2 linked regions of the Macaca fascicularis genome follow. The protein of the gene in region 1 interacts with the protein of each later gene in a pairwise test. Links are inferred from orthologs where the notes say so. Each region holds a gene or a part of one and is shown on either strand. Other genes may lie near its edges.

Region 1 (4,392 bases):
GTTACATATGTATACATGTGCCACATTGGTTTGCTGCACCCATTAACTCGTCATTTACATTAGGTATTTCTCCTAATGCTATCCCTCCCCCATCCCCCAACCCCACGACAGGGCCCGGTGTGTGGTGTTCCCCATCCTATGTCCAAGTGTTCTCATTGTTCAATTCCCATCTATGAGTGAGAACATGCGGTGTTTGGTTTTCTGTCCTTGCGACAGTTTGCTCAGAATGATGGTTTTCAGCTTCATCCGTGTCCCTACAAAGGTCATGAACTCATCCAAAAAGGTGTATGATTTTTACAGGGCAAGACATCCTTGATAACCTAAATCACTGCCTAACAAAAAAATATACTTTTAATGTAAATATTTACACCTAAAATTTATAACACACTTTGTTGGCTTTGAAAAGATTTTGGAAAAAGTAACAGAATAATACATAGGTTATTAAGCAGAAATTTTTTTTTTTTTTTTGTATTTTTAGTAGAGACGGGGTTTCACCATCTTGGCCAGGCTGGTCTTCAACTCCTGACCTCGTAATCCACCCGCGTCGGGCCTACTAAGCAGAATTTTTAATGACAATTTTATAAGAATGACATAAAAATATCAACCATTAATTTCTCCTATTGACTGCTACAAGACAATGAGAATACTGGGTAGTTCTCACCCAGGATGAGAAATTTTTTTATGTTATAGACACTGCAAATTCGCTACTACTCAACACTTTTGTTGAAAACAAACTGGAACCAAAAACTAAGCTTTCTATCAGTTACTTAATCCACTAGTCATTGAAACATTGGTCCTGGATTAATTATTTCCTCAAAGTTTGTGACAATATGGGGGAAAGAACACTCATATACTACAGGTGGCAATGTATGCTGAATATATTTTAAGAGTAAAGTCTGGCATCTATCAAAATTTTAAACTTGCATAACCTTTGATCCAGCAATTTTCCCCCAAAATATACACCCAGTGGGCAAGAATATATGTACATAAAGCTGTTCATTGCAACATTACTGAAAAACTAAAGTCCCACTACATGTTCATTTATAAGGGAATGGCTAAAGCATGGCACATTCATATTTTGGAATATGATGGGCACAGTCCTTAAAAAAAAAAAAGGAAACAAATGTACTGACGTGGAAGGGTTTCTATGATAGACTGCTGAAAGAAAAAAGAAGGTTGCAGATCTTTTAGTTTACCTAGATTTATCCTTTTTATTAAAAAAAATCAAACCGTACAGATGGGTGTCATATAAGTATAGGTTGGTTTAACAGAATACGGATTGTAGGATTAAAAGAAAAAAAAAGATTATGTTGGAAAGATTAGGTACCAAACTCTTACCACTTTATACTTGGGAAGTGGTACTGCGAGGTGAAGGAATTTTCATTTTTTTTACTTCACACACTTCTGAATGGTTTGAAATGTTTTAAAAACGTTTAAACGTTTAAAATTTAAAAATAAATACTTTTAAATACTTTACATTTTTGAAAGGCATACCCTTTTTTTTTTTTTTTTTTTTTTTTTGAGACAGAGTCTCGCTGTGTCTCCCAGGCTGGAACGCAGTGGCGCAATTGCGGCTCACTGTAACCTCCGCCTCCCGGGTTCAAGCGATTCTCCTGTCTCAGCCTCCCGAGTAGCTGGGACTACAGGCGTCCGCCACCATGCCCAGCTAATTTTTGTATTTTTATTAGAGACGGGGTTTCACCATATTGATCAGGCTGGCCTCGAATTCCTGACCTTGTGATCCGCCCGCCTCAGTCTCCCAAAGTGCTGGGATTACAGGCTTGAGCCACCGCGCCGGCCAGTTTTTTTTTTTTTTTTTTTTTTTTTTTTTTTTTTTTGAGACGTAGTCTCGCTCTGTCGTCCAGGCTGGAGCGCAGTGGCCGGATGCAAGCTCCGCCTCCCGGGTTCACGCCATTCTCCTGCCTCAGCCTCCCGAGTAGCTGGGACTACAGGCGCCCGCCACCTCGCCCTGTTTTTTGTATATTTTTAGTAGAGACGGGGTTTCACCGTGTTAGCCAGGATGGTCTCGATCTCCTGACCTCGTGATCCGCCCGTCTCGGCCTCCCAAAGTGCAGTTTTTAAAATAAGTTAGACTGTGAGATAAATTCACCAAAGAGTGTATCTTTTGATCTCAAACTCGTAGCCCTCTGGAACTTTGAGAATCTAGGAAAATTTAATAGTTTGTTACCATCCGATAGCCCAATATATAACCAACCCAATAATAAACCATTAGGGTGTTAAACTCAATATTTAACTCAGGAGACTACCAAAGATTTGTTTGGTAGGGGTACTAAAATAATTTCAGAGTAGGGAGTTCCACAGTTGGGAAGTGGGAAAAAACTGCACTTCATCTCTGTGCCGCTGAGGTAAATATTTAAGATGATATCAATTTAACTGTGAAAGCAAAAACAAATAAACCGAAAAACAAAGTCTCAACAGTCTGAGAACCATATTTAAGCCCCAAACCATGTTCATCAGAAAAAGATAACTTGTGCTAAATTACACACCAAGGCAAAAATGGGGTGGGGGGAATGGGGGAGCGATAGACTAAGGGTAAAAGAGTCTTAAACACAATCCCCCTGCAGCTTTCAAAATTTGGTTTATTATTCCTACAGTGGATCAGAGGACAACTTGAAAGTCAGGTACAGCCAAAGTTGTGATGATTTTCATAACCCTTTTCAAATGTTCTTTGAAGCCACGAGTGCGAATTATCTACCACTTTCCTTTTCTTTCTCTAAGGACCCAGAGACTGGGAAGATGTCTCAGGCTCCACATCCAAATCTGGAGAACACCCAGAGCAGTTAACTATCGACAGGGAGGTTGTGAGATACTTTCCCTTCAGAAGACACTTCACTCACAAACTGGGCAAATGTGTAGAGTGGATAGCACTGACCACCAGTCTGCGACTGGAAAGTCTACGGAAGCTAAATAAAACACATCTGCAAGGTCAAACCAAGCAAACCGAGGCAGTGTACTGGTGAGGAAAAAAAGAGCTGCTAATCCCAAAGTTATAAACACATGCGCGCGAACCAGACCTAAACCAAACCCACTCAGCAGCTAGCGCAAAGCTGGGAGCTCCAAACTAGAAGACAAACGCTCAGGGAGCTTCCCCGGCGGAGGGGAAGGCCATTCCAAGGCATTTTCTCCGCCCTCCCCGGGCAGCCCCAACCAAGTAGCCGCCCCCGGCTCCACCCCATCCCTCTGGGCCACCACCCGTGGGGCCCCGTTGAACCCAGGCGGCCCAGAGCTAAAGGGCTCCTAGGGTCAGACCAGAGGTCCGTTGCACTCCCGGTCATAGTGAAAGGAAGACACATCAGCCGCGCCTCCGGGGCACCGTACTCACCCCCATAACCTACACCCCCGACTGTGCTGCAGCTCCCATCACGGTCTTCCTCCATTCGGACGACAGCCCCCTGGGTCTTGGAAGCAGCCATTACCCGGCAGAGAAGAAAAGGGAGGGCCGCAGGGCGGGGCAGAGGCGGGGTGGCACCAATAGAAATGCGACTGGAGGTGAACTCCCCGTCGACGCTGTGTTTTCTCCACACCTACACCGCCCTCTGGGCCAATAGGACGTAATTAGTAAAACTGAATCCCCGCCTCGAACCGCAATTGCCTCTCCCACTTCCGGGATGGGGAAGCCCAGAACTACAATTCCCAGCGTGCCGCGGGGCCCCGGGACGGGAGGGCTGGACTAGGCGCTGGCGGGCGGGGGTGCGCCCGAGAGTGCCCCGGCGTGTTCGCTTAGTTCAGTGAATCAGAACAATGACTGCGCCGCCGGGTCCCCGGGAGCGCATCTGAGGACTGTGAGCAGCCGCCGCCGGGAGAGCTGCTGGCGGCGCAGTGTCAACGCTGGGCTCAGGAGCCTCCAGCGCAGATCCTGCCCAGCGCCCGCAGCCCGCGCGAAGCCCCCGGGCTCCGGCGCTGCAGCGCTGCTCGGGGACTGTGCATTGTTGTGAACCGGAGAAGGGGCGCGGGGATTACAAAGCCTCAAGACCCCGGAGCCCCTTTAGCCATGTGGATACCTACGGAGCACGAGAAATACGGCGTGGGTGAGTCTCCGCGGGGCGAACTTTTATTCTGCTCTGGCCCGAGCGAGTGCGCATTTCTCGTCCTTGCCCCCGCGCCCCTCTTGCTCCGCCCGGCTGAAAATGCCTAATCCTGGCATCGCGCAGCGGGTACGGGGCTTTGCCGAGCCAGCTCCAGGCAGAGGGCTGCGCACCAGGCTCTCGCCCCGCACCGCGGGCTCGGCGCGCCCCGCACAGATTCCCAGAGCGCCGGGACAGCTTGGGGGAGTGCGCGGCCGGCCCGCTCGCTTCGGGCTCTGCCTGCGGAGTTTGGAGTGGCAACTGGGCGTGTGTGTGTGTGTGTGTGTCTGTCTGTCTGTCTCTGTGT
Region 2 (4,435 bases), about 26 Mb from region 1:
TATTACTAAAAAAAAAAATCAGTATAATATGAATCAGTCTGGTTCATAGAATCAATAATAATTTTAAGGTAATAATAACATAATGACATAAAGCACTTGCTATTACCAGGCATTGTTCTCAGAGCTTTGCGTATATTACCTTGTTTATTCCTCCCAATTATCCTCTGAATTAGATGCTATTACTATCGCTGTTTTGAAGAAACAGAGGCACAGGTAAGTTAGTTAACATAGATGAGGATTACACAGGCAGAAAGTTGTTGTGGAGAAAGAATCTGAGCTGGGAATATGGTTTCAGAGTATATCCACTTAACCACACTGTACTGATTACACGTCAGAGCTGGGGGCTCAGGACCTGGAAGTTCCATTTTATGTATAATATATGTATTATTATCTATTATATAGAGAAATAATATTTCTAGATATTACATATATATTTCTATATATTATATATATAATATGTGTGTGTGTGTGTGTATATATATATCATATATATGTATCAGGCTGAACAATTGTGTCCCCTAAAAACTCATTTGTTGAACTCCTAACCCCCAAGGTGGGGTTTTTGGTAGGTGATTAGGTCATGACGACAGAACTCTCATAAATAGGATTACTGTCCTTATAAAAGAGACCCGAGAGAGCTTCCTCACCCCTATCACCAGGTAAGGACAAAATGAAAAGACAGGCATTCATGAAGGAGGGAGCAGGCCCTCACCAGACACTGAATCTGCTGGTTCCTTAATCTTGGATGCCCCAGCTTCCAGAACTGTGAGAAATACATTTCTATTGGTTGTAACTCACCAGTCTATGGTATTCTGGTACATCACCCTGAGGAGACTAAGAGAGTACATGTATATGTATGTGTATCTATATGCATGTGTGTTTGTGTGTGTATGTATATGGAGTTTTTACAGTCTGATATTAAATTGGTTTGACTTCCAAGAGCAGAGAGACATTGAATAATGGGGAAAAGGAACCCCAAAGCCTTATTAATGATGATGTAAGTGATGTTTACCCAAAATAAAAAGTCCAAGGTGAACTTACCACAAGTGAATAATAAACAAGAAGACAACCACCTTGCCTACAAAACAATAATCCTGAGTACATAAATAATAAAACAGTTTTTGGATACTTCAACTTAAGAAGATAAAACTTTCCTTTATCCCAAAAGTTCATTTTATTTACCCTGAATTGTAAAAATAAGGACTTTAACTTATTTGGTGTACGTTCTAAGCCTTGGTACTGATTTAATTTTATCTTTACAGCAAAACGTTTTGCCTATATGGAAAGGGCAACAGGGGAGTTTGAGATTATTATAAACATAGAAGAAGCCAAAAATCCCAGTTTTGACTGGGAGTAGGCATTTTGAACCAAGTATGAAGATAACACAAACTCCTTTTTTACTTTGTCCTGATAAAATGAGATGTTTTGAAAATATAAGGTTATTGTTACCACTTGTGGAGGTTTTGTTCTACTATTAATAATTTTCCTAAAATGAAGGGACCTAAAATACATATCTACATCCTCCAAGCTTTCATCACTGTTTGTTTGGTGGTTTAGTCCTTTGCCATTTCTTCTCCTTCTAATGGCAGTGAACTGTTGGTAACCCTTTCTAAGATTTGTCAGATGTTTTTAGGAGGAACCAGTGAGTTCTTATGTTTGAACTCATCTTTATTTGCCAAAGAAGAGTAGAATGTACTCATTTATTACTGACCATGACAGTGCAAGAGGGGATGACATCATAGCTTAAAGTATTGCAGCAATATCAAAATATTGTATCAAAATATCAATATCAAAATATTGCATTATAAAGAGAAGTTTAGAAAAGTAAAAGCAAAATGTCTATATTATTGTATGCACATATTTACTTTATTGTTTATCTAAAATATGGTTTTTGTCTCATATTCTCCTACTTTCTTTTTCTCTCTCTTTCTTTCTTTTTCTCTCTCTTTCTTTCTTTCTTTCTTTCTTTCTTTCTTTCTTTCTTTCTTTCTTTCTTTCTTTCTTTCTTTCTTTCTTTCTTTCTTTCTTTTTCTCTTTAAAAATGTAAAAGCATTCTTATCTTAGTGGTCATACAAAAAGAGACTAAGGATTGGGCTTGGCCAAAGGAAAATGGTTTGCCAACCTCTTCGATTTAGAATCTAAATCAAGAGATAGTTGTGATTGATTATCAATTTTCTTAATCTTTGATACATTTTTAGATGAACAATTTATTTGTAACTACATTTAGCCTTACCAGCCAATGTTTTCTAACCTGGTACCACCACAGTATCTCTAGCTTAAAATAAAATTCTAAAGAAAGCAGCAACTTACTAGCATTCTTTCCAGTGTCACTTCTTTCTTGAGCTGGTCAACTTCCATCTTCAATTTGTCCTTTTCTGTCAGGTCCTCAATATTGATTACTGGCATCTTTTTGCCTGCTGAAGGTGTAGAAGGTTAGCACCTACACATGAATTGCTGCAGTTATTTCAAATCAGTCTTAGCCAACAATTCCCTCAGCTCTTAACTTACAAAGTAAACTCTTCTTTGTTTTATTTTAAATATCCCACGACAACCAATTTCACATGAGCTCTCTCTCTTAACAATTGTAGCAATGCACACTAGTCTTGGGAATTTAAAGCTTCTTCCTAATCTTCACTAATATGATTAAGTCAAGCATTTGACCCTAAACACCTGTCAACAGGTTTGTTGGGAGGGGTGAGTTTAGTCAGTATATAATCTAAAATACTTAAAGCTGCTTCTTGCCCCTGGTCTTTCGTACAGTGTAAAATTTGGGGTTTCCAATCCTTACTGTCAATTCCAAAACCCTCCACCACATGTTTTATGTCATTTAACTTAGTTTGAGGTCATTTGGAGGACGGGCCATTAATTCCCTAAATCTCTAGAGTATTTAACCTGGTATTAAAAGGGAACCATATAAAAAGTATCACTATAAGTTCATTATAAATAATGGATTGTTTAAATGTGTACCTAGTAAACAGTGTTTGTTTTTTTTTGTTTTTTTGTTTTGTTTTGTTTGAGATGGAGTCTCACTCTGTCACCCAGGCTGGAGTGCAGCGGCCTGATCTCAGCTCACTGCAAGCTCCGCCTCCCGGGTTTATGTCATTCTCCTGCCTCAGCCTCCCAAGTAGCTGGGACTACAGGAGACCGCCACCTCGCCCGGCTAGTTTTTTGTATTTTTTAGTAGAGACGGGGTTTCACCGTGTTAGCCAGTATGGTCTCAATCTCCTGACCTCGAGAGCCGCCAGTCTCAGCCTCTCAAAGTGCTGGGATTACAGGCTTGAGCCACCGTGCCCCTCCGTAAACAGTCTTCTTAATCAAAAATAAACTAGTGTATTACTTATAAGTGTTTTTCCAACAACACCTGGAATTTGCCTGTAACTGTCACAATGAATCTGGTAACAATGATGACCAAATTTAGCAGGTTAAGGGGACATGGCAGGTCTGATCTACCAATAAACATCCTACTAGAACAGACTTTTTCTTCCGCCCTCTTCGCAATTCCTCTTCTCCCCAATTAGACCAGTGAGTAATGGGGAAGAAGGCTCAACAGCTGGTGATAATGCTATGAAATTGAATAATGGGGAAAAGGAACCCCAAAGCCTTATTAATGATGATGTAAGTGATGTTTACCCAAAATAAAAAGTCCAAGGTGAACTTACCACAAGTGAAAAATAAACATGAAGACGACCACCTTGCCTACAAGACAATAATCCTGAGTACATAAATAATAAAACAGCTTTTAGATACTTCAACTTAAGAAGATAAAACTTTCCTTTATCCCAAGTGGCCAAGTGGCATTGTGCCTATAGTGTCTCCTCCTTCTCCCTAGTCCAATTTTTGTAATGAAGTATTATTATAAAAGTAAGTGTATTCATATTTCAGAGAACAACATAACATTGTACATCTACATGAAAATACTCTGCTAATAATATATCAGCAGTTAACCTATTTCCTTGTATTTAAATGATGTTTTCATTTCCAAAACCTTTGAAGAAAGATTGTTTCCCTTCCCAGTCTTAAAATATCCCGTTCTTCTCTGGATAAGTAGTAGTTTAAGATTTTTTTTTTTTTTTTTTTTTTTTTTTTTTTAGATGGAGTTTCACTGTGTCACCAGGCTGGAGTGAAGTGGCCCAATCTCGGCTCACTGCAACCTCTGCCTCCTGGGTTCTAGTGATTCTTCTGCCTCAGCCTACCGAGTAGCTGGGACTACAGTTACATGCCGCCACGCTCAGCTAACTTGTATTTTTAGTAGAGACGGAGTTTCACCATGTTGGCCAGGATGGTCTCGAGTTTAAGATAATTTTAAGGGAAAAATGTCTACCTAGACCAACATAGAGGTAGAAAATAACACACTATGGGTACCTGAGCCCAGTGATTCCTATGTTTTTATTTTTGCTATTCCGTTCTTTAAGAAACAATATGACTATACAAAGGT

Evidence for each region. The genes of interacting proteins can lie anywhere in the genome.
Region 2: the proteins of ZNF277 (region 1) and GNGT1 interact in a two-hybrid assay, tested with the Homo sapiens proteins (3 studies listed by BioGRID and IntAct). The two-hybrid records come from large-scale screens. The link is inferred for Macaca fascicularis from reciprocal best matches to the Homo sapiens genes ZNF277 and GNGT1.

Annotation. Positions count from the first base shown.
Region 1 is NC_088377.1:153,718,538-153,722,929, reverse strand, and holds the start of ZNF277 (zinc finger protein 277), read right to left. Parts: upstream 3,450-4,392; 5' UTR 3,435-3,449; coding exon 3,344-3,434; intron 1-3,343. Other genes in the region: DOCK4 (dedicator of cytokinesis protein 4), read left to right, coding at 4,013-4,049. UniProt on the Homo sapiens protein: Probable transcription factor. Involved in modulation of cellular senescence; represses transcription of the tumor suppressor gene INK4A/ARF, perhaps acting via the Polycomb group (PcG) complex PRC1.
Region 2 is NC_088377.1:127,422,314-127,426,748, forward strand, and holds the start of GNGT1 (guanine nucleotide-binding protein G(T) subunit gamma-T1), read right to left. Parts: upstream 2,587-4,435; 5' UTR 2,509-2,586; intron 2,418-2,508; exon of another isoform or gene 2,415-2,417; 5' UTR 2,407-2,414; coding exon 2,311-2,406; intron 1-2,310. UniProt on the Homo sapiens protein: Guanine nucleotide-binding proteins (G proteins) are involved as a modulator or transducer in various transmembrane signaling systems.